7 linked regions of the Tribolium castaneum genome follow. The protein of the gene in region 1 binds, or shares a complex with, the protein of each later gene. Links are inferred from orthologs where the notes say so. Each region holds a gene or a part of one and is shown in the gene's direction. Other genes may lie near its edges. The genes, in order: MRG15, Eaf6, Tip60, rept, Brd8, PHD finger protein 12 and Ing3.

Region 1 (3,503 bases):
ATTTTTCCATGGCCAACTACTTTCAAATATTTTAAATATATTTTTATCAAAAATATATAAAAATATCAAACTGTATTTATATCGTCTTTAGTTCAGAAAAAATAAGCTTTTCGAAAATGTCATAGCCAACTATGATTCCCATTTAAAAAAATACAACTTTATGTTATTACAGTTAAACGAATTTTTGAAAAAAATCGCTGATAACATTACTAAATTCTCCGGAAAAGAGTGCTTGTATAATGTCTTTGTTTCAAACGTGTATCTTTTATAATAAGAAAGATATGATTTTTTTAAGATTTCGCTAAAATGTCAATTTTTGTTTATAAGTCGAAAACAAAAGACGATCGGGAGATGCGGTTTTGACCCGAGAATGTGTCTCTAATTTTTCTCTAACCTCTTAATTTCGGACACCCAAAAAGCAGCACCCTGTACAAACGAACAGTACCTTAAAGTTTATTTGTTTAAGATGCACAAATTTCGGGGAAGTTTCCCGCTAGGGGCGCCCCACACGTGCCAAAATAGGTCAGATAGACAGAGTCACATACAATGTTTCCTTCCGGTAACAATAACTGATCAAAGTGGCCTGTGATTGGCTCGGGCCACTTTGATTCGAAAATTAATACGCGCCATCCAAGTGGCCTAGTCACAACCCAACAAATGTAAAACAAATAAATTACCGTATCTCTGACTCAAAACTGGCCTTTTTTCCCTTCCCCTCACAAAATCCGACTAGCGATATTCCTTTTATAACACGTTAGACTGCACAGCGGTGCATTTGTCCGCGAACAGGAGTATTTTTTCACATTGCCACAGCCCATGCTACACAGTGTGGCTTTCGGGGGCTCTTTGCCCCCCGCCCCCGGCAAGGGCCAGTCCATCCCTTGCGGGAACGACACTGTCGTTAACCCAACATTCTGACGGTACAAAATCATGGGGGTTTGCGCTTTGGTGATTTTGTTTTTCGCCGCTTTGGCCGCCTTCGACTCCTGCTTTTTGAGCAGCCTTTCCATCGTCTTCTTCTTATCCTTTTCGCGCTTTTCGTCCGCCAGTTGTTTGCGTTTCTGCGACTTGATCGCCGCTTTTTGAATCGCTTCGGCCGTCATGACCTTCTCCTAAACCAACAAGTCTAAACTATTTGAATTGAAACAAACTGAATTACTTTATATCCAGTCGGGAGCGACATTAACGTGGGGGTGGTCACAGAGGGGCTCCCGTCCACCTCACGCTCGTACATGGCGCGCTGTCGCGCCGTCATCAAGGCCGGGTCCTTCGGCTTGATTTTCTTCAATTCGTCGTCAACATCCTCAAGCTTCCCGGACTCGATGGCAGTGAGCCACCGTTCCTCGTCACTTGAGGCACTGTCGCGTTTTTTGCGCTTTTTATTACCAGAGGACGATGCGGACGGGGGCTTGTTCACCGGCGACTTGGTTTTAGCACCAGACTCGTCCACTATGAGCAAATCACCGGAGGTGTCGTCCTCCGGCAAAGGGGGCCTCCGCTTAACCTTACTTTTCTTCGATTTCTGCAACTCTAAACCCACGATAACACGATCAGGGGGCACATTTAAACAAACTCACCCATTCCAAGCCAAATTCAAACGCCGTCTAAAGCTAGGTTATGTTGACAAAATGGCGTGACCGTAGCCACTTCTGGCTTGTAATCAATCATAATTAACTAACCCTGGCACAATTTCGCCCCAAATCAATCATCAAGCAAATAAATGTTTCACAAAATACAATAAATAACAAATAAAGGCACCGGGACGCGTTATAACCGGCACAAATGTGCCGGTAGCCACAACCAACTGTCAATTGTCAAAACAAAAAAAATTGTTTGAAGCCGAAAATGCCCCCCAAGTTTAAATTTTCCGAAGGTAAGACACGTGGTCGCCCCCTTAAGCCGCCCAAACACCCCTTTTCCAGGCGAGAAGGTTTTGTGCTTCCACGGCCCGTTGATTTACGAAGCCAAATGTCTGAAGTCGACCATAACCAAGGACAAGCAAGTGAAGTACTTTATCCATTACGCTGGTTGGAACAAAAAGTGTGTAAGTGTTTTCGGGGGGCCTTGTAATTGACAGTCGTGTGTTTGCAGTTGGGACGAATGGGTGCCCGAAAGCCGTGTCCTCAAATACAACGAGGCCAACGTTGCGAGACAAAAGGAGGTGCAAAAAGCCCACTCGACTCAACCCAGCAAGACGAAAAAGGCCAAGAAGAGTAAAACCGACGCCACGAAAGACATTGACTCGAGATCTAGTACCCCAAATAATGAACTGATCAAAGGGGGGAAGAGCAAAATAAGCACACCGTCGAGTGGGCAAGACTCGGGTTCAGACGTGCCCCGGAAGAAAAGGGGGCGGTTGGACCCCTCGGTCGAGTCCGAGGAGCAATTTTTGAATAAGGTTGAAATCAAGGTTAAAATCCCTGACGAGTTGAAACCTTGGTTGGTGGACGACTGGGACGTAATTACCAGACAACGAAAACTCGCAAATTTGCCGGCAAAAGTCACAGTCGAGCAAATTCTGGACAACTATCTCGCTTACAAGAAGTCAATCAAGTCGAATAATTCCAGCAAAGAGTCGGCTACGATTGAAATCGTCAAAGGCATCAAGGAGTATTTTAACGTGATGTTGGGGACGCAACTTTTGTACAAGTTCGAGCGGCCCCAGTACGCCGATATCTTGCAAACCTACCCCGATAAGCCCATGTCTGAGGTGTACGGTGCCACTCACTTGCTCCGTCTGTTCGTCAAGCTGGGGGCCATGTTGGCGTACACGCCCCTCGACGAACGCAGCATCCAACTCCTGCTCCAGAACATCCAAGATTTCTTGAAATATCTGGTCAAAAACAGCGCCCAATTGTTCAGCCTGCAAGACTACGGGAACGCCACACCTGAATACCACCGCAAGGCGCTTTAATTGTGATTATTTTATTAAAAATAATAGAAAAGCATTAGTCGGTTTTTAAAAACGGGGCCCAACTCTCGCTGGGGGCCTCGGGCGGGGCGACCCACCCGAGTGGAATAGCCGAGCCTGAGGCGTTCCCCGGACTTAGAAACGTGTCCCAACTTTTCCTTATGGCGATAAATGTCTCCAAGTCGCGGTCGGCGCTCGTTAGAGCCCAGAAGGTGGGGTTGTTGACGGGGGGGTCTCGGGGGCCGAATAGGAGGGACTCCCAGTCGTCGACAATGCGGGTTTGTTTGGCGGCGATCGCCGCTTTGGAGTCCTTACTGGCGTTGTGTTCCAGCATCACTTTCAAGCATTGCTCCTCTTTGCAGTAGCTCTGGTACGAGTTCTCCCACATGCGAATTAGTTTCTCTGAAAGTTTAGTTATGTAGAAGTGTTTGTCTTGTTTGGCCAATTTTACCCGTGACGTGCCCGAAGGCCTGCCTGTCCTCCAGCGACAACTTGTCGCCCCTTTGCGTGGCCATGGCGTCTCTAACCGTCCGCAACTTAACGAGCGCGGAAATGAGTGAGAGTTGCTTGCGCGCTTCCGATTTCTTCTTCG
Region 2 (2,766 bases), on another chromosome or scaffold:
TACCTAGAAAATTCAATTTCCAAATTTTTCAAGTTGTCTCCAATTTACAAGACGTACAACAACACATTTAGTTATTTTAGACCACCTTTAGAGTAACGAATTAACGATTAACACTAACGTCCAATTTTCAAAAATGTCAAATCTGGTGTTCAAACTGTCAAATACAGAATACAGCCAGTTTCTAAAGTGGTTGAACATGAACTTTTAGGGTGTTACAGTCTTTATCAGAATTTTGACACTGACAGTTGATTATACAAAAAAATTAACTATAGAAATTTTGAGCAGGGGCGTTCCAAACTGGAGGGAAGTAGGGTAAAAAATATCCTAACTATGTGGATTTAGTTTTGTAACACATGGGCTTTAAATAAATTCTGTACTAGTTCAGGATTAGTTCTAAAAATCGTTTTTGTTTGAGTTTCAGAATTTGCAAAATAATATTGCATTGAAATTGAAATTGAGGTGTATACGTACAGTGTCATTCTGCTAAAAGTATTTTCTTCCTGTGTCTCAAAACTCAATAATTACACAGAGAATTTTTCGGCAGTTCTTTATACATAATTTAAATTAATTAATATTAAGTCACTGACGAAAAAATTCTAATGATATTCTTTCTGAAGGGAACCATTAATAATAAAAAAATTGTTTCTAGCCACCAAAAAATAAAATTATTGTGTTGTTCATATTTTCCAACATTTTTAATTGTAATCAAACTGTAATTAAGATTGAACTTGTGATTTACTTTGCCAAGATTAACTTAATCGATGATTATTTTTTTTATCTATTTTTGCACAAAAATTTTTTCATTGGCTTAATTAAACTTTATTTTAAAAATTTATAGGAAAATTCCGAAAAAAAAATGCGTAGAAAGATTTAATTGATAGCAAACGCTCATCTTTATGATTTTAGCTTTAAAAATATACTTTTTTAGACTAACCCTGTAGAAACATCGAAAATTATGAATTTAATATAAAGTTGAAAAAAGAGTAAATTTCTAATGCCCCAGTGTTTTTTATATTAAAAAATAATTAAAAATGAAAATTGAGTTTTAAGTTAAGGGTAAATAGGTCATAAATACCTAATTTTTAGTAGCGTTTGACGCCTGTCATATTTGAATTTAGTGTACGTTATTCTAATTAAGTCAGAAAAAATTCCCATGCTGTAACTTGATGACTATAAATGGAAAATATTTACATAATAACAGTGGGGCAAAAATGCGGAAGTAATCCGTAAATTAATTATGGCCCCAGCAATTTAAAAACCATTGATGTCAACATAATTTTTCTAATGAACGCTTTTTAGAAATTAATTGTGTCGGAAAATTTGCTTGTTTACCGTGGAATCTCTCTCATTTTTAAAGTTACTTTTACTTTTTCATATTTTTTGTTTTTTTAATAATTGTATCCTGCCTCCTATTCACTTAATTAGCAACTAAAATTTTGTGATAGTCTATAAACGTTGTTTTTGGCGATGGAATGTAGACATTTTGTAATAACAGTCGCCAGAACAATCGGTCATTGTAACGCGTTTTGTAGTAATTAGTTTGGAAATACCTTAACAGAAAAATTTACAAGGCCACTGATCCGATCTACTTACATTGCACAAAATCGCCGCTTTTATTCATCGTTCATTTTTTCAGCCGAATGATTTGGCAATTAAATTGCTAAAACCGTCTAGTTTTTCTGTACAGGTATTACGTTCAAGCAGTTACTTTTTCAAGTAATTTTAGTTTTATTTTTTACTCGTAGTGGAGCCGCACAGCGATACTGAATCTCAAACTAATGGAGATTCTAGTGATACTAACTTAGGTCCTAATTCGAACCATATAGATTCTGGGATGAAAAATGCAGGAAAACACTCGACGAATTCCTTGAATGGTGTACAGAACGGGCTTGACCATCGAAATAGCCCCAATAGAGACGTTTCGGCCAAACAGAAAAGTTTCAGTGCAAGTGCTAAAAAAACTAATAATAAGAAAGCTAGACACAGATGACTTTTTGTGCTGTTTTCTCAACCTATTTGTGTGTGTTTACAGTTTTAAGGTTTTTCAATTGTGAGTTTGGAATCTAAGTACCTGCATATTGAAATTGTACACTTTTTACCGATGTAATTGTTTGGAACAATAAATAAAATTATTCAGCAATTAAATGATTTCCTTCATTCAAATAAGAAATAAGTACGGTAAGTGTATGTGTCTATAAATTTAAGTATTTATGTAAGTTCAACTTTCTTTAAATTGTTTTATCTTTTCAACACTCATTGCTGCATTATAAAATTGTCTGCTCGTAAATGTCATTTTCTTAGTTTTTATTACGCTTTTGCGTTAGAAATTATTACAAGGTATTAATTAATTAGACGAACATAAATTATAAATCGTATAAAGTAAATAAACTTTTTCTTGTGTAAGATTTATGTCAAAAACAAACACAAAGGTGTGCGACTAAACTCCAAAGAAATTGTAATCTCATTACTACACCTCGTTTTTTCGGATTATGTTTTTTCTATTAGGTGAGAGAATCCGATCATTAGCGTATTAGAATATCCGTTTAATTTTTTTGCGAAAGTATTTGAAAAATCTTGTTTCTTATACAAATGGTTTTGTAATATGCCAGACGTGTTTAGTAAAAGCATTTCTCTCCACAAATAACTAAGGAATTATTGTGATTCTTAAAATCAATCTTTGATCCTTATACCGTTGATTCAAAAATCTTTTAAAGATGTTTTTTGTCAACGTTGGTATTTTGACAAAAAATGGGACGACCAAAATAA
Region 3 (4,431 bases), on another chromosome or scaffold:
GAGCCGGTGTACACAACATTGTAATTGCAATTAAATTTTAAGGAATTATTGGTTTGTGAAATAAACAAATACGACACAAAAATAAAATGGACGTACCTGGGTATCGCTTCCACGTTGGCTACCGTTTGTAGCATTAAAAGAAATATTAATAAAAATGAAACCAAAAAAAAATGTTTATTTGCATTAAATTTAGAGCAAGTGACTTTATTTTCATCGATTGAAATTAACGACAAAATCAGTACGCGACGATAAATTATTTGAGTGCTTTGATTTTACTTATAGTTACTGAATTTAAAATGTGTCACTCAAACGCGATCACTAGTCACCGAATTTAAAATATAAACCGGAAAATTTAGATTTGCTTGAACATACGTCCGTTCGCGACAACGGCAAGTAACAAACTGAATAAATTGAACGAAACGGCACAATACACAATAATTTAAATAAACCGCCTCACCTCACCTCGCTTCGCTTCGCCCCGCCTCCCGGTCCCGCTCCCGATCTGACCCGTGCCGCTGCTCGCTGTCGACTGAAGCGCTCTCGCCGCCTGCGCCGCACACCTAACCTCGGGACACGTCACGGATGTGACGTCACACAAGTCTAAAACAGGTCATTACCAGAAATATTCACTGTCAAAATCCGTCAAATTTAGTAACATTCATACACAGAATTATTCAAAATAGAACAGCATTGATCTAGAAAAATTAATTATGACAAATGTATTTGCCTATAAACGTCTAAAATTATAAAAGTTTCGCATGCAGTCAATGGAAAAATAAAAATGCATATTTTTATTTAAACAGAAACTGGCAATGTGAAATTTTGGTGCGAAAAGTTTTATCACACGAGCCGACAATTCTTTCAGACTAGCCGTGTTATGTGTTATGTTGCTCACAAAACGGACAACAAGGGGGTTATCACGGAGACTCAGCTGTGACGAACGAATTTTATTTTTACATAAAGGTGATTTATTTGTTACCTCAGTCAAATTTTTCAGCGCGATTATTTCAGGCGGCAAAGTGCGCAATTTGTTTTTGTGCAACTGGAGCGACTTCAAGTTGTGCAAATTGGCGATATTTGACGGCAAACTCTCGATTAAGTTATCGCAAAGCACCAAAGCCTGCAGTTGCTTCAGTTGGCCTAGAGTTGAAGGAACTTCCACTAATTGATTGCCACCCATCGACAAGATTTGAAGGCTGCAATCATTATCACGTGTGGTCGTTTTAATCGTCCCCACTTACCAGTTTAATTTCTTTATGTTTTTCGGTATTGTTTTAATTTTATTCCCTCTTAGGTACAGGTACTTTAAATTAGTAAACTCAAACAGTTGTTCGGGAACTGTTCGAAAACATTCCCGCTCAGGTTTAACTCCTGCATGCTCGCACTCTCAGCGAAACTTTTCGGGAGGGATTCGTTACTGAAGCGATTATTTTTCGCAACCAGTGTTGTTAAATGCCAGTACTCGAAAACATCAGGTAAGGTCATAAGGCCGTTGTTGCTGATATGGAGGACTTGGACGTTTGTGACTTTTGACAAGTTTTTGGGGAGCGTTGTGAGTTGGTTGTGGTGCAAAATAATCGACTCTATGTCTTCTCGTTTTGCACAGTCCTTGCCTAGTTCGTCCAAATTTTCTTCGAGTTGTTGCGAATCCAAGAGCAAATAGGCGAAACTCCGTTTGAACTGTGGGCTGCGATTAGGAGAACGCTGCGTTCAAGCGAAGCTAAGGTCAAACGTGTTATCACCAATTTGTGAACAAAGCTTGGTGAGGCGTTAATTTAACAATGAGTCTGAGAATGGAATTGTGTGATTTTATCGAGTGTGCTGGTTTCGGGGGAAACCCCCGAGCAACACCCTACGCCCATGACTAGATAATGATAATTTATTAAATAGTAGACACTTGTGTGTATTGTTTCGGTTCGCCGAATGTGCATATACAGATAAGTCGCATCAAAACATTATTTTGGATAACAATTATGCAATGGAAAAAAATCGTTATGGATATTGCGCATTATGTTTTTTGCGGTAGTTGTGGTGGTGAGGTTTGTTCGGCAATAATTACAATTTTTCCCCCCGAAATTGTGAAAAACAAGCAGAATCGATGAAAGTGGAAATGGAGGAAATCGACGACAGCACAATTTGTGATTCTGTGGTATATTTTCATTAAAAATTGCAAAACCAAAATGTTGACACAACCTCACTTTTAGAATTCGTTAGTGGAAGGATGCAGGCTCCCGGTTCACATGACCGGCACTTCCGACTGGCGTAAGCCCCACTTTGGCACATTTTGCACGTTTTTATGTTTTAAATTGCAGCTTTGGCCGAAATTATCAGTATTAAGGACGTGCAAGGCTCGAAATTGTACTACGTCCATTACGTTGATTGTAAGATTGGACACCCGTTTCGTTCCTTGTGAACTAACTTGGGTTTTAGTTAACAAGCGTTTGGACGAATGGGTGACCGAAGAATCGCTCGACACTCGTAAAGTCCACTTCCCGAGACGTGACGGCGGGAGTAACACTGGAGTCTCAACTCCGAAAAAAATTCACATTGGGGGCGGTGGTGCCATCGGTTCGGTATCAAGGCCCTCGAGCCCTGTGACAGCTGCCTCCGAACTTGTCAACGGCAGTGCTGTCCTAGCAGCAGCGTTGCAAAAACGCATAAATAGGAAACGAAAAGGGCCGTCTCTTGAGAGCGAAGACTCGCAAGATGGGCCCACACAGATGCCCCCAGGGCCGAGGCAGTCTGGGAGCATGGTGTCGCACCATGACGATGTGGTCACCAGGATGAAGAACATCGATATGATCGAGTTAGGGAAACACAGGATAAAGCCGTGGTATTTTGCGCCATATCCGCAAGAAATGGTCAACTTGAGCTGTATATACATCTGCGAGTTTTGCCTCAAGTACCGAAAGAGCAGGAAGTGTCTAGAACGCCACTTGGTCAAATGTAATTTGAGACACCCGCCCGGAAATGAGATTTATCGCAAGGAAAACGTCTCGTTTTTTGAAATTGACGGGCGGAAAAATAAAGTCTACGCCCAGAATTTGTGTTTGTTGGCGAAGCTGTTCCTCGATCATAAAACACTGTATTACGACACGGACCCGTTTTTGTTTTACGTAATGACCATTTTTGATAATAGAGGGTTTCACATTGTTGGCTATTTTTCGAAAGAGAAGGAATCAACGGAAGATTTTAACGTCGCGTGTATTTTAACCATGCCTCCGTATCAGCGAAAGGGTTACGGAAAATTACTAATCGAATTTAGTGAGTTTGAGTGCGAATTTTTGTTGTCGAAATTTCACGAATTGTTTCAGGTTATGAATTATCAAAGTTCGAAGGTAAAACGGGTTCTCCCGAAAAACCTCTCTCCGATTTGGGTTTGCTTTCGTATAGGAGTTACTGGGCACAAGCTATTTTAGAAATCTTAATATCAATGAAGCCAGTGGGTGATAACGAGAAGCCACAAATAACGATCAAGTAAGTATTTTTGATTATTTCTTTATTTTTCGTAATTGTGAAATGTTTGTTCACTTTAAAGTGAAATTTGTGAGTTGACAAGTATTAAAAAAGAAGACGTCATCTCAACTTTACAAAACTTAAACTTAATCAATTATTACAAAGGCCAGTATATTATAACGTTAAATCAGGAAATTATGCAAAGTCACAAAAAAGCCATGGATAGTAGACTTATCCGAATCGACCCCAAGTGTCTGCATTGGACACCTAAAGATTGGGGCAAACGCGCCAAGTGGTAGATCAATAAATGATTTTTTACATTTTCTCTTTTATTAACATATTCCTCTGCCAATCCACACTGTTCCTCCTCACTTAATAATAGTAACACTGCGAACTTGTGTTTTGACGGAGAAACATGGAGAAAACACCGGGTTCAGTAGTACATTTTTTACGAAAATGCATTTTGTTTGTATTTACTGGCACATTTTACGTCCAAGATATTATTAAGTCGAAAGTGGTATTATTTTTGCGTTTACGCATATTTTTTATTTAGAAACTCACTAGTTTCGCAATTGTCAGATTTTACTCTGAAAATCGTCGAATTATTTTTATTAAAGCGAAGTGTGAGTTAAAGTGGACTACTTTTCAAACGTTTTAGTCGTTTTTCATCACCTTGTGAATTTTGAAATCAATGAACTTGCGATTGCAAAACTAATCTTCAATTAATAAAAAAATGAAACGTTTTCCGTTGTTTATTCGTACGTTTTATTGTGTAATATTTTGTTTTGGGTTTGTTTATAATACTGATGGGAGAGGATGTGGGTTAATCAAAGACTCTCATGTCACAAGACTTGTTTATTGTTCTTATTTTTAAACCATTATTATTTTTCATGCTTCAGTGTACTCATGGACAGAATTATTAAAATAGGATTATTGAACCATTATTCAACAATCGTATTTCATTTTTTCTACCCA
Region 4 (2,815 bases), on another chromosome or scaffold:
AAAAAAAATTCAATTTTTCAGTTATTTTCAATCTCCACAAACAGAGGGAATAAGAAAATTTTATAATTTTTTTATTTTGTTCTTTCTTTTGTAATAATTTGACCTCACTTTTGAATTTTGTTAACTTAATTTTTTGGTTCACATTTATCTTTTATTTCGCCTTTTCTCTTTCCTAAGAGTTTGCAACGATTTTTTTTTATTTTCCAATTTTATTAAACATATATTTTATTAATTTTTTTGTTTGCTCACCTTTTATTCTTCTATTATAATCATTTGTTAATTACATTTTTTCGTCCATATTTTATTTATTCTTTTTCCCGTTTTCGTTATTTTGTATCGATTTATTTATTAAATTCATTTCTACAACATTTTTTTTTTGTATTGTACTTTATTCTTTTATTCCTTTCTTAATTTGTGCTTATTTTTGATTTCTCTTATTATAATAGTGTGCTTTGTTTACCTTTTTTTCTTTTTCCGATTTCTCCTAAACGGAAACGTCTTTAAACCTCTATTCAATAATAAACCACGCTTTGTTCGTTCTTAATCATTTGCTTTGAATTACAATCCTTACGAAACGCTTTTTTTGCCACATTATTGCGCCTTAATATCACCCAACTTTCACCATCAAGTGTGAGACCGATGCTTTTTTTTCCCCAACCAAAGGGAGGAGAGCGAAATAATCGAAGGTGAAGTCGTCGAAGTACAAATCGAACGTCCTGCCACCGGCGTTGGTACAAAAGTAGGTAAACTAATCCTCAAAACAACGGAAATGGAAACCGTCTACGACCTCGGTGGCAAAATGATCGATTCGTTATTGAAAGAGAAGGTTCAATCAGGCGACGTGATAACAATTGACAAAGCCACCGGCAAAATATCGCGTCTTGGACGCTCTTTCGCACGTGCCCGAGACTACGACGCCACTGGCCAGCAAACTCGTTTCGTTCAATGTCCCGAAGGCGAACTCCAAAAGCGGAAGGAAGTCGTTCACACAGTGACCTTGCACGAAATCGACGTCATCAACAGTCGCACGCACGGCTTCCTCGCCCTTTTTTCGGGTAATTACCCAATCGCCGCTTAAAGTTCCCTACTTTACCGACTTTCAGGCGACACCGGCGAAATCAAGCCGGAAGTTCGCGAGCAAATCAACGGAAAAGTGGCCGAATGGCGCGAGGAGGGCAAGGCGGAAATGATCCCCGGGGTGCTTTTCATCGACGAGGTCCACATGCTCGATATCGAGTGTTTCTCGTTTTTGAATCGCGCGCTCGAAAACGAAATGGCGCCGATTGTCATCATGGCGACCAATCGGGGAATCACACGCATCCGTGGCACCAATTACAAATCGCCGCATGGGATTCCCCTCGATTTGCTCGATCGCATGATCATCGTGCCCACGGCACCCTACGATGAGAAGGAGTTGCGCGAGATTTTGAGCATCCGTTGCGAGGAGGAAGACTGTCAAATGTCTGACAACGCACTGACTGTTTTGACACGAATTTCGAAAGAAACGTCACTGCGCTACGGCATGCAGTTGATCATGACGTCAAGTTTAATTGCGCGCAAGCGCAAAGCCCCCGAAGTCGATGTTGAGGACATCAAGAGGGCGTATCAATTGTTTTTCGATGAAGGGCGCTCGGTTCAATTTCTCAAGGAGTACCAACAGGAGTTTATGTTCAATGAAGGTGTGTTGGAGTGAGATGGAGGCAGCGATTGTTATTTTTTGTTTTCCAGATGACGCGATCGAAATGGACACGACTTAATCGCGTTACCTTTGCCTTGTGACACTTGACCCGGGAATTTTATTGACAGTTGGATTTCCCGCCATTTTTTTCGGTTTTTTTTTTTTTAGTTAATTGCATCGCGTTCTAGATCGGGTGAATGGTGAAATATTCAGGTGTGTGTTGAGAAATTTCCATGATGTTGTTTCATGCGAAATAATTGGGGGAAACGGCAATTTCGAGTCAAATTTTTGACGTTTCCTTAATCTTCTCGAATCAAAGTGTCACACTTGACATGTTTACATAATTCCGTTATTATGTAAGTTTGTGTATTTTTTGAATAAAATATTTAATTAACAAGTTGTTTTATGATTTTTCGACCTTACGACGTGTTACAACATGTGTTTAATTTGTAAAGTCGCACGAAATGACAAAGAACTTAACCCAGTTTTGGGTCATTAATCATTTTTCTAATCCAGTTAAGTGCGTAATTTAAGAAAAAACATAGGGAATGTTGAAATTACGTAACGATTGAGGAATTTGATTGAAACATCTTTGTAATGTTGGCAACTTGGCGGGTCAATGACCCGCAAATGTCAAGTTTTTGCCCAAATCAGGGTTGCCAGACGTAGATCTAGGGGAATTTTTATCCCCTAGGCAAAATAAGGACACAAAGACAAGTGCGAGAAATTTCTTATTTTCTTTTATTTTTTTTAATTTTTAATTCCAATTTCTTTTTTTTTTTTTGATCTATTTTTTATATTTTTTTTTTCTTATTTTGATCTAGTTTTTGTATATTTTTTTCTTTTTACAAAATAAAACTGCTCAAGGTTTATTTTTACTATTTCCCAAAAACTAACAATCATGCAGAATTCAGAATATGCTATTTATATTTTTCGTATACATGTATATTTTTTCAGAATTTTTTTATAAGAAAAATTATTGTAGTTTTAAAACATACGATACAATGTTACTAGCCACAGGAAATAATTCATTAAAAAAATTAAAATAAAAAAATCAAGATATCAAATTTTTTATTCAAAAAATTATTTAAGTATAGATATTTTATAGAAGCACTAGAATTTATAAAACTTCGACTA
Region 5 (4,712 bases), on another chromosome or scaffold:
TGAAACTATTTCGTTTGTAAATTGTATAATGACGTTTGTTTTTAATATTGTACAGTGATTTTTTATTAAGTAGTTGACTGAACTATTAAATAAAGCATATGTGTTAATTTAGTTATGTTGCATCAGTGAATTGACTAGCTTAGATACGATTAATTTATTTTTAGTTAAGTGAGTTTTTAGTGATAAAAGAATGGAATTAGCAGGGAGGATGATCTCATCTTGTCTGAATAGCATAAAATAGCAATAGAAAAGTGTACATTGACATGCTTTTATTTTCATCCGTTCACGATGCAACATTCATAGAGTACCTATTTATAAGTAGAATGTAAAAGAATAATGAATATCAATTATATCATATAATTTATGTTAAAATAGGTTTCACAAATTCTTGCCATGATGAATCCTAGCCTAGACTGAAATTATAAATATTGCTTTGTTACGTAATGAGAGTAGAGTATATGAAGTGTTTTAGTTGTAAAGGATGTAGTTACACACACTTTAGGGGTTAAAACTGCAATTCTGTAACGAAGTCTGTTATATTTTTACCGAAAGTGCTCATGCTGTTATCAAATTAGGTGACGTAACTTTGGGAAATGCTTTTGACGATGAGAGCGATTTTAACAAAATCATTTCTTATTCACAAAATTACGATTTGTTGAAAATTTCCTTCACAGTCATATTCACCTTATAAGTAGGGATTTTTTTCAGAATCATGTAAATAAATGTAGAAAAGTGCCTATTTTAAATTGCGCATCGCTACCCTCTTGGTCAACTATTAGAGTAATCTCAAATTATTTAATGTTTTAACTGTTGTTATAATTTGGTTTATAATTGAATAAAGCTGCATTTTTACAGTTTGCCCGCATTTCCTTCAACACACAAAAACATTTCAAACAAATTTATTCAACTACTATGTTACAAAGTAAACTATCATAGCGTGAAACACAGTAAGAGGACCGCAAATCCCAGACGCTCATACTGATTCATGATTATTGCAGCAACGCCAAAACGAAAAGCCGCTTTCATAACTCTTGCATTCCAAAACATTATTATCAGACGCAGCCAAGTTGAGGAAGGTCTTGTCACACTTGTCTCAAACGCTGGTGCATTCACCGGCTTGTCGTTTTTTCCACCACTTTTATGAAACACTCCATATTTGTCGATGTAATAACTGATTCGCCCTTCGGGGGCCATTCTGAATACTGTTTCCACCTTTTTTTTTTTTTTCAAAGAGTATCCTTACATTTGATTGTTATGTATACACTCACAACTTCTTTTTTTACTTCACTTTGGGACACTGGGTGGAGCTACCACCAGAAACAGCTTCCAAAGCATTCGAAAAAAACATTTTTTATTGCATTCCATTCGCAAGAAAGTGAGGTTAAAAATTTGACAACTTGCCACTAAAGTAGCTACCGCGCAAGCTACCGAAATACTTAATAACAGAATATGCCATAAAATTCGACAAATACAAAAAGGTGGCCACAATCTATATGTATTTGATAACATTAAACCAGCTACACCCAAAATACACTAATTAATTAAAAAACAGTCATTAAATTAATACTTTTCGATCATAAAAGCCCTCGTCAAAAATCACGGTCTGTACGTAATATCTAATAATGTCTGCGTATGAAATTTTCAAGATTATTAATTTTTATGAATAATAAGATCTTACGAAATTATTTAGACAAGTGTGCTTGAAACATTACATAATCTTACACTGATTGTGGTTGACTTTCTTTAAAAATCAGGCAAAACTTCTGCATAGTTTGTCCAGGTTTGACACTTTGACAGTTGACAAATATAAACAACGTTCAAGCTTGTTATAACGATAATTCTTGTGTGCGAATTTCTACTTCAAGAATGTTTATTCAGTGATACTATTAGTCACTTTCCTGGCAAGGTTCTTGTATTTGATTTTTGGACGTTCGGGCCAACATAACCTCAAAATGAGTTCAATTGAAGAACGTTTACAAATAAAGCGTGAACCGCTGGATAAATGGTCAATCCGTGAACAGTTGGCTCTAGCAGTGGCTCGTAACATGGACCAGAATTTAACAAGTGTGAGCCGAGCTTTAAAACCCTTTGGTGAACCCAACAGACCCCCTGATTGGTTCCACCAGAAGAACTGTGCAGCCCAGTATGGGGCTCTTTTAGCGAATGTTGAAACACCTAAGAGGAAGAAAAGAACGTCTGGGGGCGAAGTCACTATCGAAACCCCCGCCGAAGTCATTCTACGCAAACTTTTGGCCGAGAGACAAGCTGAGCTCAAGAGACTACTAGCGGAAGAAAAAGCAGAATATCAGAAATTGCAGAGAGATAAAGCTCTGCTTCAGTCAGGTATTCACAATTAAATTAAAGTTGTTTGAAGTTACAGGGGCTATATTAGAGCCTCTCAAACTTAAGACTGTTGCGGAAATTCGGTTAAGTATTTTTTGATAATTAATTGTTTTATTTAAAGGTAACGTAAGTGAAGAACAACTGGATATTTGGTGTAAGGAAATAGATGAAGAGGAACACAGGAAGGAACAAGAAGCCCTGGCACACGAACAGTGGCTAAAGGAGAGGGAGTTACGAAAACAGGAAATAGAAAGAGCGTGGAGACCAGTTAAGCCATCCCCGGTGATTGGTCAAAAACGTAAAAATTCCGAAGCTATGGACACAATCCCAGAGATGGAAAATACAACAGAAGAACAGAAAATCCTAGTGCAGGAGCCCCCTAAACCGGCCCTATCGCCACTTCTGACAAGTCTTCTGAAATCACCATCACAAGTTCCAAACGTTACAACTTCCTCAATATTGCATTCAGCGATTACCAACCAACGGCCAACCAACACAACTACTAGCCCCATGATTGCCAGTCTTTTAAGCTCCTCAACTGGAGAAACAGTTTCTCCAGGATTGCAACTTTTGGTTAGTACAGCTATAGGACAAGAGCCAACCGGAGAAGAAACCCAACAACAGAATGTCAATACTAACGATATCCTCGATGATGCCAATCTACAAATTTTGAAAATTGATGACTTGGCGAGCAGTATCTTGATCCAGAATGGCCCACTTCCAGAAATAAAGAATGACGTTGATGTTATCATCTCCGATTTGATTGAGAACGCGCAGGATATAGTTGCAGATCCGGAACAGCATCTACAACTGGATGGAAACGGTGATCTTAATCTAAATTTGGAACTGGAAGATTTCGAAGAGAGTGAAACTGATATGAAGGACGAAACCAAAGAAACAGAAAAACGGACGGAAACTACAACACCGGCAATAGATCCGTTTGAGTTCCAAGAAGATCCGGAAGTTTTTGAACCCGCTAAACCTGCAACAGCCGTGAAAACAGACGCTTCTAAAACTATGGTAGCACAGGACAGCGACGATCGGTCACAAACTACTGACGAAGCCCCAAATTCAGACAATAAACACTTAACTTCAAATGGCGAAGAATCTCGGGATGAACTGGTAGAAGTAAAAAACGAACCAACTGATGATTCCGATAAGAAAGATAAAAGCACAACTCCTGGATCCGTCGAAATTGTAGAAGTTGTAGTTATGGATGATGAGGATACTGACAAGGAAGTCAATAAAACTGAAGATCCAGCCCATTCCGTTAAAGCGGAACCAAAGAAAGAAACAGCAGGGGAAAGTACAGAAGTTGCGGAAATAAAATCAGAAACAGACGCCAAAGTTTCAGAAAATGAAAAATCTAGTGTAGAGATTGAGAAGAAAGACGAAAGGAAACTGGACGAGTCAACCACATTGACTTCCGACTATAACGAGGAATTGTACGACGATATCAATATGGAAGTGAAAGTGGACAAGACCGGGAAAGCAAAGCGCGATTATTCCAGGACGAAGAAGAAGGACGATAAAGAATTTGATGTTCTCTTGGCCATTGAAAAGGCGCAAAGAGACGAAAGTGAGTTGGTTGAAGAGAGTTTCTCTGACCGGGATTACAGCGAACTGGACCGTAAAGACAGCAAATCGCGGATTAAGAGCGAGAATGAAAGATCTAACAGTCCCTGGACGGAGGAGGAAGATGTGTCTACAATACGGACAAGGAGGCGACTTTCAACTCCTGCGACTCCGATTGATTCAGTTCCAGGATCACCAGTTTCCAGTATATATTTTTACGATGATGATCGGGAGTATCGCAATTGGAAGAAGTCTATAATGCTTGTGTATAGTAGATTGGCTGCAAATAAATACGCGTCACTGTTTTCTAAACCGATCACCGATGACCAAGCTCCAGGGTATCACAGTGTGGTGTATAGACCCATGGATTTGTTGACGATTAGAAAGAATATAGAGAATGGGGCTATAAGAACAACGCAGGAGTTTCAAAGAGACGTCCTTCTTATGCTTAATAATGCAATTATGTATAATAAAACAAATGATACGGTTTATAATATGGCGAGACAAATGCAACAAGAGTCGATGCAACAAATACAGATTTTGTTGCAAGCGCAATCGCAGGATTTGCCTGTTAGGAGGGAAACTAGGACTAGTGAGCCAGGGTGTAAGAGGAAGAGGGGTAATGAGGAGAATTCCAGGAGTAAGAAAAGGAAGGATGATTAGCATTACGTTTTGCGGTATTCGGATAAGCTGTTTGATTTTAGTGATTTTTTCTAGTATTAGTTTTATTCATATTGAAATAAATATGAACAATTTTATGCTCGTATTGTTAGAATTTTCGAATACAAATACTG
Region 6 (4,623 bases), on another chromosome or scaffold:
AGTGTGCATAGTTACCGATCCGCGACCGTCTAACCAATACGGTAAAGTATACACAGTGGATTGTCTGGGGAATGTTGTGGGTGGACGTCCCTGTATATACAACAATCAACCCGTTGAACTTTTACTCGATGCCACGGCCAAGTCGATTAAAGATGGCGAGGCAGTGTGGTTTGGGTGTGAGGTTATGAAACGATTCGCCGGAAAACAGGGGATTTTAGATTTGAAAATGTAGGTTTTTTTTTGGTTGGTTGGGTTTGTGGTTATGGTTTTTTGGTTTTAGTCATAATTTTCCGTTGGTTTTTGGTGTGGATATTCAGACGATTTTGAGTAAAGCCGATAGATTGATTTATGGAGACAGTGCCATGTCACATGCGATGGTTTTCACCGCTGTGAGCTTGAACGTAAGTAGATTTTTATGTTGGCAGTGTTGCCACCTCAAACAAATATTTTTGATCACCCGGTAGATTGTATTCACACCGATATTTTTCCTGTTGGCAACACTTAATCACCAGAGATTTGGTGATTTTAGTGCTAATTTGCTTAAAATCGATAGGTTTTTACTTTTATTCGAGTATTTTAGTGCGTTTTTCCTTTACAAACGTAAATTTTTTATTAAAAGCCACAAAATTTCGCCAAAAATGCAGTTTTTCCAAGTCTAAACCATAAACTAAACCTTGGAAAATAACTAAAATAGAAATCTAGGAGCTTTTCAGCTCGGATCTAGTAGGCATGATTGTGAGCTGGCAGCACTGGACATGGCCAACTTAGAGCACAATTTTGACCAGACTCATTATTTTTTATTGTTTTTCTGACAGGAAAAAGATGAAGTGACGAAATTGCGTGTGGAAAATTCATGGGGTGAAGATCGTGGCGAAAAAGGCTACTTGATTATGAGTACTGACTGGTTCAAGGAGTACGTTTTTGAAGTGGTGGTTGATAAAAAGTATGTTCCTGTTGATGTTCTTGAAGTTTTTAAACAAAAACCGATCGTCTTGCCAGCTTGGGACCCCATGGGAACACTTGCCAATGTTTCATGTTAATTTGTATTTTTTGCTCCAATAAAATTTTGTGGCAATAAGTCAGTGTTTTATTTATACGGCGATACAAAGATAATATCTGTTTCAAAACTACAAAATTAACTGTCACTTGTCAATTAGTTTTTTCTTCTAACTAGTGGGCTTTTTTGGCACTAAACTGATCACCAGAGCCCGATTTGAACATAGAAAGTTTTTAGTTGTGACATACATGACCCCAAGAAATGTAAATGCGCCATTGCTTTTTTATAGTTTTGAAATAGCAAGTACATTAGGGAAGAGATTTTTTATTGGAATAATATCTCGCGATTGAAACTTGTGGTTGGAAACAAAGTCCGTGACTAATTCAATAATTAATTAATTCAGTTTTTGTAAAAATAATTAATTATTCGTGTGAATGAAGGGAATATTTGATAATGGCGCTGCTCGGTCGGTAAGTCGGTAAAAGTGACAGCTCGCGGCAAACACTGTCAAAAACCTGCCAAACGTTTTATAAATAAGCGTAAAAATTCAAGTGTTATTAATGAATTTATCTCAACCGATTGATCGTTTCGCCCCCATTTCACCGTCATCATAACCAAATTGCAGTTTTCAGTGCCATTCATATTTTCCCCCAACCATGTAACCAAAACCGAAAAAACCAAACTCGAGTGAGTGAAAAACCACTCAGTTCATTCCCACGCCACCGTTCTCCTCAGCAATGGCTTCAATCGAGTACGATTTGGACACATCTGGGGGTCTCATGGACGTAAGTCGCGCAAAATGGCGGATTTCCGCAGCCTTTGTGTGCGCTTTTGCAGCAAATCCAGGCTCTGATCGCGCCCCCGCAGTCCGAGGACACGAAATCGCGCAAGGGGGCCACCGCCACGGAGCACCCGTACTTCAAGCGGCCGGGAAAGGGGCACAACCACGACAGTTGCGACGCGTGCGGCGAAGGGGGCGATTTGATTTGCTGTGACAAGTGTCCGTCGAGTTTTCATCTGCAGTGCCAGTAACACGGGGACGCCCCGGTTTGTGGTTTTGGCTAAACGGTTGCGTTTCAGTGATCCCCCATTGGAGGAGAAGGATATACCGAGTGGAGAGTGGTTGTGTCACAGTTGTAAATATGCAAAAAAGAGCAATGCGCCCCAAACGAGGAACAAACGCTCGGCGTCCACGCCGGCGGGGAAAGCCCCCAAAAAGGCGAAAGTCAGTCCGATGGATTTGTTAATTCAGGCTGCGAGTTCAATGAATCCCAAGCAGTTTGATTTGCCCAGGAGTATGAGTGTACCGTGCATTTTTCCAGGGACTGATAAAGGTTTGTTCAGGTTGTTTTGTTCTTTTTTTCCATGAGATCAATTTTTTTTTTGATTTTTTTTTGTTGTTTAAATTCAACAAGGAATCAATTTTTGACACGGCCTGCTCTAATTCAGTTCATTTTCGATCACATGTTATAATTTTACAGCGTCAAGTTATAAAAAGTCTTTAGATCAACTCTTGCTGTGGAATTTAGATTGCTAGATTTTTATTGTCTTTGATAGATTATCGTTTTATTCTGTTGAAGTGTCAAACGTGCTACTTGCACGTATATAGTAACCGAAGAAATCAACATACCTTCAAAATTTCACAGCAAGAGTTGATCTAAAGTCTTTTTGAACGCATTATATAATATTACAGGATTTTTGTCAAAATAAAAACCACTAAACTCGCAGTTAAAAAAATAAAATCGCTTCAGACTGTTAGAAAATTAACAATTTTGTAGAAGTTATTTGATTTTTGATGATTTCTGGCTCAAAAATATCGAAACCAGGTGTTGGAAATTTAAAATCGCTTTATTCTATCCAACAAAACAACGTGATTTATTTGAAAACATTTTATTTTTTAAGATTTCTGCCTTAAAACGACGAAAATCGTAGTCAAAAATATAAAATCGCTTAAACAGTTTGGAAGAAAACGATTCATTTTGGACAATTTCTTGCTTAGAAACGTAGAGAATTGGTTGAAAACTCCGCATTTCGAACGATTCTTTGCTCAAAAAAAAAAAAATTCATAAAACTGGCTAAAAAAAACGGTTTATGTATTAGTTTGGAAGAAAACGATTAATTTTGGACAATTTCTTGTTTAAAAATGAGAAAACTCTGAGAATTGTCTGAAAACGGCTTATTTTACCTGAAAACGATATTTATGTTATAGTTTAGATAAAAATAAAAATTTGAGATAACGTTTTTGTTTTTTGATTTTCGATAATTTTTTGCTTAAAACGTTATCACCTATTGTCTAAGACCTAAAATGGCTTTATTCTGATGAAGAAAATAACAATTTGGGCATTAATTTAACGGAAAACATATAATTTCGGATTATTTCTTTTTCTCTAAAATGACAAATAATAATAATAATAATAATAAAAGCCTTTATTCAAGAAAAGAATGTGAGAAGGCAAAGTTTAGCTAACCTCTCACAAAACAAAACAAAAACATACATTTTTCAAAATAAATTAAAAAACCAAAACTAAAAATAAATGCGAAAAGAAAAACTTAAAATATTAATATTAGAAAATAATATAATTTTTAAATAATAGTAAAAGAAAAAATATGTGTCCTGAATACTTTGAAAAAAATAATAATAATAAAAATAAAGATACAAAATGAAAACAAAACAACAAAAGAATAATTATTCAATTAATAAAAAATTTAACTTTATTGCCTTGCTGCAGAAATTTTTTATTCGATTATTAATACGAGAAAAAAGGGTGCAGTTCAAAAGGGTTTCCCAAATTTTTGTACAATTGGCTTATTGTTTAAACTTGTTAAAAATTTAATTGATTGATTTTTCTATAAAAAAAAATATGTTCAAATCGCATAACTTTCTGAAGGTCTTAGCAACAATATAGCACATAAAATTGAAGAAAAAATTTCGTCTCATTTGAAAATAAAATGAAAAAAAAATTTTTTTTGCTCATTTTTTTCTGTAAGACAATGATTTCTTCTAGGAACAACATCCATAAAATAAAAAATTGAGTTAAGTTGTTACATAATTATAAGCCACTCTGAAAACATGGATTAAACAAGACTGTTACGTTTCACTTAGTAAAATCAATGTTGCAATTATTATAACAGCCTGTTTTATTGATTTCATTTTCATTTTTAATTTACTCTTTTTTCTAATCGATTTACTTAAATAATTTATTCAGCAGATTCTATTGTGTACTCGTTTCGTAAAACTCATTTGTAATTCAGCGTTTAAAATTCAGTAGTCACAAGTAAACGTCGATTATTGATTTAGTTTTGTCTTTGTCTTTCCGTCTGGTAATAAATACAAAATATTTTGCTAGAATTTTAACTTTAATTTTTGTACTTTTGTAGGCGTTTTAAATGTTGTATCTAATTTTTTCAGTCGAAGCCCCATATTCTCGCAACGGCCGCAAAAGCATGAAAGTCCACAAAGACCACGAGAAAAAACAAGATGCTACAATTTTCCTTCCAGCAAAGAAATGCCACGAATGTCGCAAATCTTGCCGTGTAGCTCCGCTAATATCGTGCGACTTTTGCTCCCTATACTTTCACATGGATTGCTTAGATCCACCGCTAACAACGCCACCTAGCGGCCGCTG
Region 7 (4,461 bases), on another chromosome or scaffold:
AAAATCTTCAGTCTCCTTCAAATTTTGTTTATACGACTCTTCCAATTTTTTTACATGCTGTTTGAGCATCTTAATAATTACGTCTTTGTTGGCGATGGTTTTTTCCGCTTCTTTTAGTTTCAAATCCCGCTTGTCGCTTGTCGTAACATTTTCGTACTTTTCAAGACACTTACTGGACTCGCTATTGGTGTCTGTCATGTTCGGAAGCGAAAAATGTGTGCATATTGTTCGGTAAATACGAATAAATTTACAAGTCGTTCTTTAATTTTTTCCACGATTGGTCATTACTGTCATTTTGGACGTTTCCGCTATCAAGTGTCTAAATTCGCATCAAAATGAAGAAGAAAAGTAAAAAAGTGTTCAGGCCTTGTAAAATTCCCAGATATTTGATTGGGTCGGTTAGTCCCCAAGTCATTAAAACAGACTTGGCAGAATATAACGCACACAGATATAAGGTAAAAGCAGAAGCTTCAGGCTTGGTTTACTCCCGTTAGGTTTTTTCAGCGAAACCGAAAACTGATACCAAACCCCTCCCCATGAATCCGTTCAATTATATCAACCTTCGAAAGTTACGGGCAGACGCTGAGCGGTTACAAATGATTGATAAGGAGAATAAGCAGCTCCTTAAGTCCATAAATACGATAAATAGGACCATCGTAAGATTTTGATTTTAATTGTCTTGAAGTGAATTTTTAACGTAGGGAAAAATTGATTCGTATAATCCTGAAGCCTATGCGTCTAAATCGAAATGGCACGCTCACGTTATGAGGATGAAGAGAATTGACCGCAAAAATAAAGCAATATACGAGAAACTGATGGCTGCAGTAAGCCCAAAAAATTAGTTTCTTTATTTAACAGTTAACAGACTTCCAGTTACGATTGTGAGTCGTTACGTAAATTCTGGACCAGTATTATTGAAAAATTGAAACTAACTTCCAAATTCCCTTTGGTCATCCTTCAGAAAGTCTCAGTCGATTCAGTTATTGCAAAACAGCCGTCAATTAGTTGCGGACTTGAGAAATTATCAGAACGGCCCCGGTATAATTAAAAAAATCAAACAATGACTTAATTAATTGACCCCGAAGGTGTTTTTTGGAATTTCAAGTGCTAAATGGCCCAGTTCTGGGCCGCGTAGAGATCGAGCTTTATCACGACCACGTCCCTGTCACAGTCCAGAATTTCTTATCAATTTGCTGCGGTGAGAACAAACAGAACCTTTCGTATAAAAACTGCCCAATCAATCGAATAGTTCCGGGCCGTTTTTTGGAAACTGGGGACATAACTAAAGGGACAGGACGTGGTGGGGTGTCAATCTATGGTAAATACTTTGCAGAGGAAGGCCACATGCTTAAGCACACGAAACCTGGTACAAAACCCGAATTTAGTTTACGAAAAATTCCTGAGTGTTGTTTCAGGAGTTTTGTCCATGGTGCGTGTCCGCAAACACGATAACAACTCGCGCTTTTGTATCACCTTCACGAAAATGGAACAGTTGGATATGCAGAACGTTGTGTTCGGTTATATTGTGCGAGGGGCTGAGAATTTGTTTAAAATTGAGGGGTATGGCCGCAGTATCGGCAAGCCTTTAGCCCCTGTAATCATCTCGGACTGTGGGAAATTGAATCGGGCGCTTGAGTGTTAGTGGTTTTCGGGGCGTCATGTTGTCGTTTGGAATTAAAAATGGCAGTTTCCTTCCATCAAATTGTGTGAAGTTTGCAGTTTCGGGTTTATATCAGGAAATAAAGTCGTAATTAAACACGTATTTACTTTATTATTTATTATTCCGTACCACATTAATACAGCAAAATGTTGTATCTGGAAGATTACTTGGAAAGTAAGTAAATCAGTTACTTTGGCGTGGCATTGACGGAAACGCCAATTGTCAATGTGGCGCTCAATTCGAATTTTTAGTGATCGAGCACCTACCTCAGGAATTACGGGACAGGTTTACAGAAATGCGAGAGTTAGACTTAACAGTGCAAAGTAAGAGTTTGATAGTTAGAGTTGATTAAATAAATTATTAATTGTAGATAACATGGATGAGTTAGAAAAGCGGGTGAAAATTTTTTTCAATGATTGTAAGCGCTATCCCGGTGAATTACCGCCTGCCATTCAAGTCGAGTTCGAAGCTGTGAAAAAAGAGTACAAAAAGACGCTCGAGGACGCAGATGAGAAGGTAGTTGTGGGGTTGTGTGACCACTTAATGATAATTTGAATCAAAGGTGCACCTCGCTAATCAAATGTTTGAACTAGTTGATAAATACCTGCGCCGGCTTGACACAGAACTACATAAATTTAAATGCGAACTAGAGGCAGACAATAAGGGCATAACTGAAGTTCTAGAAAAGCGGTCACTGGAGTTAGACACTCCAGTTAATTCAACAAATTCATCCCAACAACAAAAAGAAAATAGATACGAAAGGTGGTTTTCATTTATGGGAACGTAATCTTTGTTAGTGCTAATGTAGTTCTAGCAGCTTTAGATATCGACAAAGAAGCGAAAAAAGACGGGATAGTAGTAACTCTTTGCAGACCTCATTTGCCGAAAAAAGACAAGCTGTTGCCCCCATACCTCTCGTCGAGACCCGGCATAGTTCAATAGGCCAATCAACGCCCCCAGCTCAGTCTAACGTTACTTATAATTTGGGGCACATAGGCGCGGGGCCTGCCATTGCGGCTGCGGCCTCACAGGCCATCGCTGCCACTCAACAGGTAAAAAATCACTAATTTTATACCATTTTTCGCCTAGAAAATTGTCAAAAATAATCCATTCAATCAGTGGTGGCTGTTAGGACACGAGCCGGGGCGAGTGTCGTATTAATAGCCATTGAGTGCGACCTACATACACTATTTTTTCTACGACCTTGATATTTTATACTATACTGTTTGATCAGATGCAACAAGGCAGGAGGACAGCAAGTCTTAAGGCCTCGTATGAGGCGATAAATACAGGAAGCCATGGTCATGAGTTTAGTATCGGGCGCGAGTTGGCTGGGGCGGCGCAAACGGCCATTCAAGCCATCCAACAGGACCATGCCAATAACAAGAAGAAGCAAAAGTAACGATTTTTCCCATTTTTTTTGGTTAAATTTAATTTTGAATTATAGGAAATGGTCAGGTGGTAGTGCTAGCGCACCTTCGGCGTCAACAACAGTTCAACAAATATTAAATGCTCCGCTTGCTAGTGCCGCCCCTGAATCACCGTCAATAGATGTGTCTTCACAAAGCGCGGAAGTAACAGATGGGGAGTGGACTTATGACCCCAACGAGCCTAGATATTGTCTCTGTAATCAGGTTTCTTACGGAGATATGGTCGCTTGTGATAATGAAGACGTAGGTTCTGTGAAATGTTTCTGGGTGTGTTTTATTATTGTTGTTTTAGTGTCCAACTGAATGGTTTCATTACCCATGTGTTGGTATTACTGCACCGCCAAAAGGCAAGTGGTATTGTCCACAGTGTTTAGCGTCAATGAAACGTAGAGGGAGCCGAAAAAATTGAATGTGTTGATAGAGAGTTTAAAAAGGCTTGTAACAATTTCTCGGAGGCGGGAGAAAAGAATCAGAAATGAGTGAGCTTGTGCAGGAGAAAATGTTAGGGAAATTCGAGATTATTTAATCTGTTTTTTCCACAGAAACGGAATAGTTGTAAAAATAAAAGTATTCAACTGTCATTGTGTTTTTATTGTGATTAATGATTTCCTATTTAATATTAAGATCTTGTGTAATTATGAAAATGTAATATTTATGTATGCTCAACTTTTTACTCTTAAATAGTATTGTAAACCGATTTATTACGCTTATAAATTATAAAACTTGAACAAGAACAGAGTTTTATTTGACACATTTCCTACCCTATCCTTTTTAAGACGTTTAATTAACTTTACTGGACATTGATAACTGAATAAACTAATCACACAGATAATAAGTACATATAAGCAAGGATCAAAATCTGAATTCCAGTCTAATGTAAAACAAAATAAAGCAACAAGAGCGTAAACACATTAGATATTATAATTTTGATACATGAAAATTAATGGAATCGGTAGTTTAACCCACTTGAAAAGGGAACCAGCTCAATATTCGAATTTTACGGTAAATAATTTAAATATTACATTGCGAAATATGTATGTACATTTCCATGCACAGCGACCATTTGCACCGAGTTTTACACACATTACCTAATATTTCCTTGTAAAAATAATAATTAATTAAAAACGCACCTAAAATCTAATGAAGGTAACGAGTAGTAACGAAAATATCAGCCTGAATGCAAGCGAAATTGCATGCCGTGAAACGGTCGGATTTGTAAAAACCCTCCACCTTCACTCACGCGTACCATTTTTCCGAGTCACCGAAAGCCATGCAATTAATCAGCAAAGTCATAGGGTCAATAAATCGTGAGTTGTGAAACGAAGGTCAGAAATTTCATTTTCGAATTCGATAAAAAATTCAAATCATGCT

Evidence for each region.
Region 2: MRG15 (region 1) and Eaf6 share a complex: the UniProt entries of both Homo sapiens proteins name them as parts of the nuA4 histone acetyltransferase complex. The link is inferred for Tribolium castaneum from reciprocal best matches to the Homo sapiens genes MORF4L1 and MEAF6.
Region 3: MRG15 (region 1) and Tip60 share a complex: the UniProt entries of both Homo sapiens proteins name them as parts of the nuA4 histone acetyltransferase complex. The link is inferred for Tribolium castaneum from reciprocal best matches to the Homo sapiens genes MORF4L1 and KAT5.
Region 4: MRG15 (region 1) and rept share a complex: the UniProt entries of both Homo sapiens proteins name them as parts of the nuA4 histone acetyltransferase complex. The link is inferred for Tribolium castaneum from reciprocal best matches to the Homo sapiens genes MORF4L1 and RUVBL2.
Region 5: MRG15 (region 1) and Brd8 share a complex: the UniProt entries of both Homo sapiens proteins name them as parts of the nuA4 histone acetyltransferase complex. The link is inferred for Tribolium castaneum from reciprocal best matches to the Homo sapiens genes MORF4L1 and BRD8.
Region 6: the proteins of MRG15 (region 1) and PHD finger protein 12 are in contact, whole or in part, in a cryo-EM structure (PDB 8BPA), measured with the Homo sapiens proteins. The link is inferred for Tribolium castaneum from reciprocal best matches to the Homo sapiens genes MORF4L1 and PHF12. Residues at the interface, in NP_996670.1 of Homo sapiens: Glu201, Lys204, Pro205, Leu207, Val208, Asp209, Trp211, Asp212, Tyr251, Ala252, Glu255, Val256, Gly259, Ile260, Glu262, Tyr263, Val266, Met267, Thr270, Gln271, Leu272, Leu273, Tyr274, Lys275, Arg278, Pro279, Tyr281, Ala282, Leu285, Arg304; in NP_001028733.1 of Homo sapiens: Cys62, Glu64, Gln81, Cys82, Asn84, Pro86, Pro204, Leu206, Arg207, Arg208, Pro209, Phe210, Leu212, Leu213, Ile214, Ala216, Ala217, Arg220, Asn221, Pro222, Thr223, Gln224, Phe225, Gln226, Leu227, Pro228, Glu230, Leu231, Thr232, Thr330.
Region 7: MRG15 (region 1) and Ing3 share a complex: the UniProt entries of both Homo sapiens proteins name them as parts of the nuA4 histone acetyltransferase complex. The link is inferred for Tribolium castaneum from reciprocal best matches to the Homo sapiens genes MORF4L1 and ING3.

Annotation. Positions count from the first base shown.
Region 1 is NC_087400.1:991,011-994,513, forward strand, and holds MRG15 (mortality factor 4-like protein 1), read left to right. Parts: upstream 1-1,734; 5' UTR 1,735-1,845; coding exon 1,846-1,873; intron 1,874-1,922; coding exon 1,923-2,040; intron 2,041-2,091; coding exon 2,092-2,914; 3' UTR 2,915-2,948; downstream 2,949-3,503. Other genes in the region: INO80 complex subunit B, read right to left, coding at 717-1,112, 1,160-1,530, 1,578-1,581; uncharacterized protein LOC657630, read right to left, coding at 2,949-3,313, 3,363-3,503. UniProt on the Homo sapiens protein: Component of the NuA4 histone acetyltransferase (HAT) complex which is involved in transcriptional activation of select genes principally by acetylation of nucleosomal histones H4 and H2A.
Region 2 is NC_087398.1:15,242,838-15,245,603, forward strand, and holds the end of Eaf6 (chromatin modification-related protein MEAF6), read left to right. Parts: intron 1-1,745; coding exon 1,746-1,990; 3' UTR 1,991-2,145; downstream 2,146-2,766.
Region 3 is NC_087402.1:5,803,141-5,807,571, forward strand, and holds Tip60 (histone acetyltransferase Tip60), read left to right. Parts: upstream 1-1,703; 5' UTR 1,704-2,098; coding exon 2,099-2,149; intron 2,150-2,204; coding exon 2,205-2,262; intron 2,263-2,312; coding exon 2,313-2,381; intron 2,382-2,430; coding exon 2,431-3,264; intron 3,265-3,314; coding exon 3,315-3,477; intron 3,478-3,538; coding exon 3,539-3,755; 3' UTR 3,756-3,776; downstream 3,777-4,431. UniProt on the Homo sapiens protein: Catalytic subunit of the NuA4 histone acetyltransferase complex, a multiprotein complex involved in transcriptional activation of select genes principally by acetylation of nucleosomal histones H2A and H4.
Region 4 is NC_087401.1:15,894,178-15,896,992, forward strand, and holds the end of rept (ruvB-like 2), read left to right. Parts: intron 1-663; coding exon 664-1,055; intron 1,056-1,103; coding exon 1,104-1,679; intron 1,680-1,728; coding exon 1,729-1,757; 3' UTR 1,758-2,075; downstream 2,076-2,815. UniProt on the Homo sapiens protein: Possesses single-stranded DNA-stimulated ATPase and ATP-dependent DNA helicase (5' to 3') activity; hexamerization is thought to be critical for ATP hydrolysis and adjacent subunits in the ring-like structure contribute to the ATPase activity.
Region 5 is NC_087396.1:10,840,184-10,844,895, forward strand, and holds the start of Brd8 (bromodomain-containing protein 8), read left to right. Parts: upstream 1-1,551; 5' UTR 1,552-1,952; coding exon 1,953-2,343; intron 2,344-2,464; coding exon 2,465-4,581; 3' UTR 4,582-4,712. UniProt on the Homo sapiens protein: May act as a coactivator during transcriptional activation by hormone-activated nuclear receptors (NR). Isoform 2 stimulates transcriptional activation by AR/DHTR, ESR1/NR3A1, RXRA/NR2B1 and THRB/ERBA2.
Region 6 is NC_087401.1:17,011,456-17,016,078, forward strand, and holds the start of PHD finger protein 12, read left to right. Parts: upstream 1-1,453; 5' UTR 1,454-1,734; coding exon 1,735-1,782; intron 1,783-1,834; coding exon 1,835-2,025; intron 2,026-2,077; coding exon 2,078-2,331; intron 2,332-4,406; coding exon 4,407-4,623. Other genes in the region: bleomycin hydrolase, read left to right, coding at 1-228, 281-401, 816-1,040.
Region 7 is NC_087397.1:1,047,588-1,052,048, forward strand, and holds Ing3 (inhibitor of growth protein 3), read left to right. Parts: upstream 1-1,692; 5' UTR 1,693-1,806; coding exon 1,807-1,834; intron 1,835-1,911; coding exon 1,912-1,983; intron 1,984-2,030; coding exon 2,031-2,176; intron 2,177-2,222; coding exon 2,223-2,422; intron 2,423-2,468; coding exon 2,469-2,712; intron 2,713-2,894; coding exon 2,895-3,058; intron 3,059-3,107; coding exon 3,108-3,333; intron 3,334-3,382; coding exon 3,383-3,499; 3' UTR 3,500-3,824; downstream 3,825-4,461. Other genes in the region: CAP-Gly domain-containing linker protein 1-like, read right to left, coding at 1-198; uncharacterized protein LOC103313454, read left to right, coding at 336-455, 495-656, 702-824, 866-1,038, 1,086-1,366, 1,416-1,642. UniProt on the Homo sapiens protein: Component of the NuA4 histone acetyltransferase (HAT) complex which is involved in transcriptional activation of select genes principally by acetylation of nucleosomal histones H4 and H2A.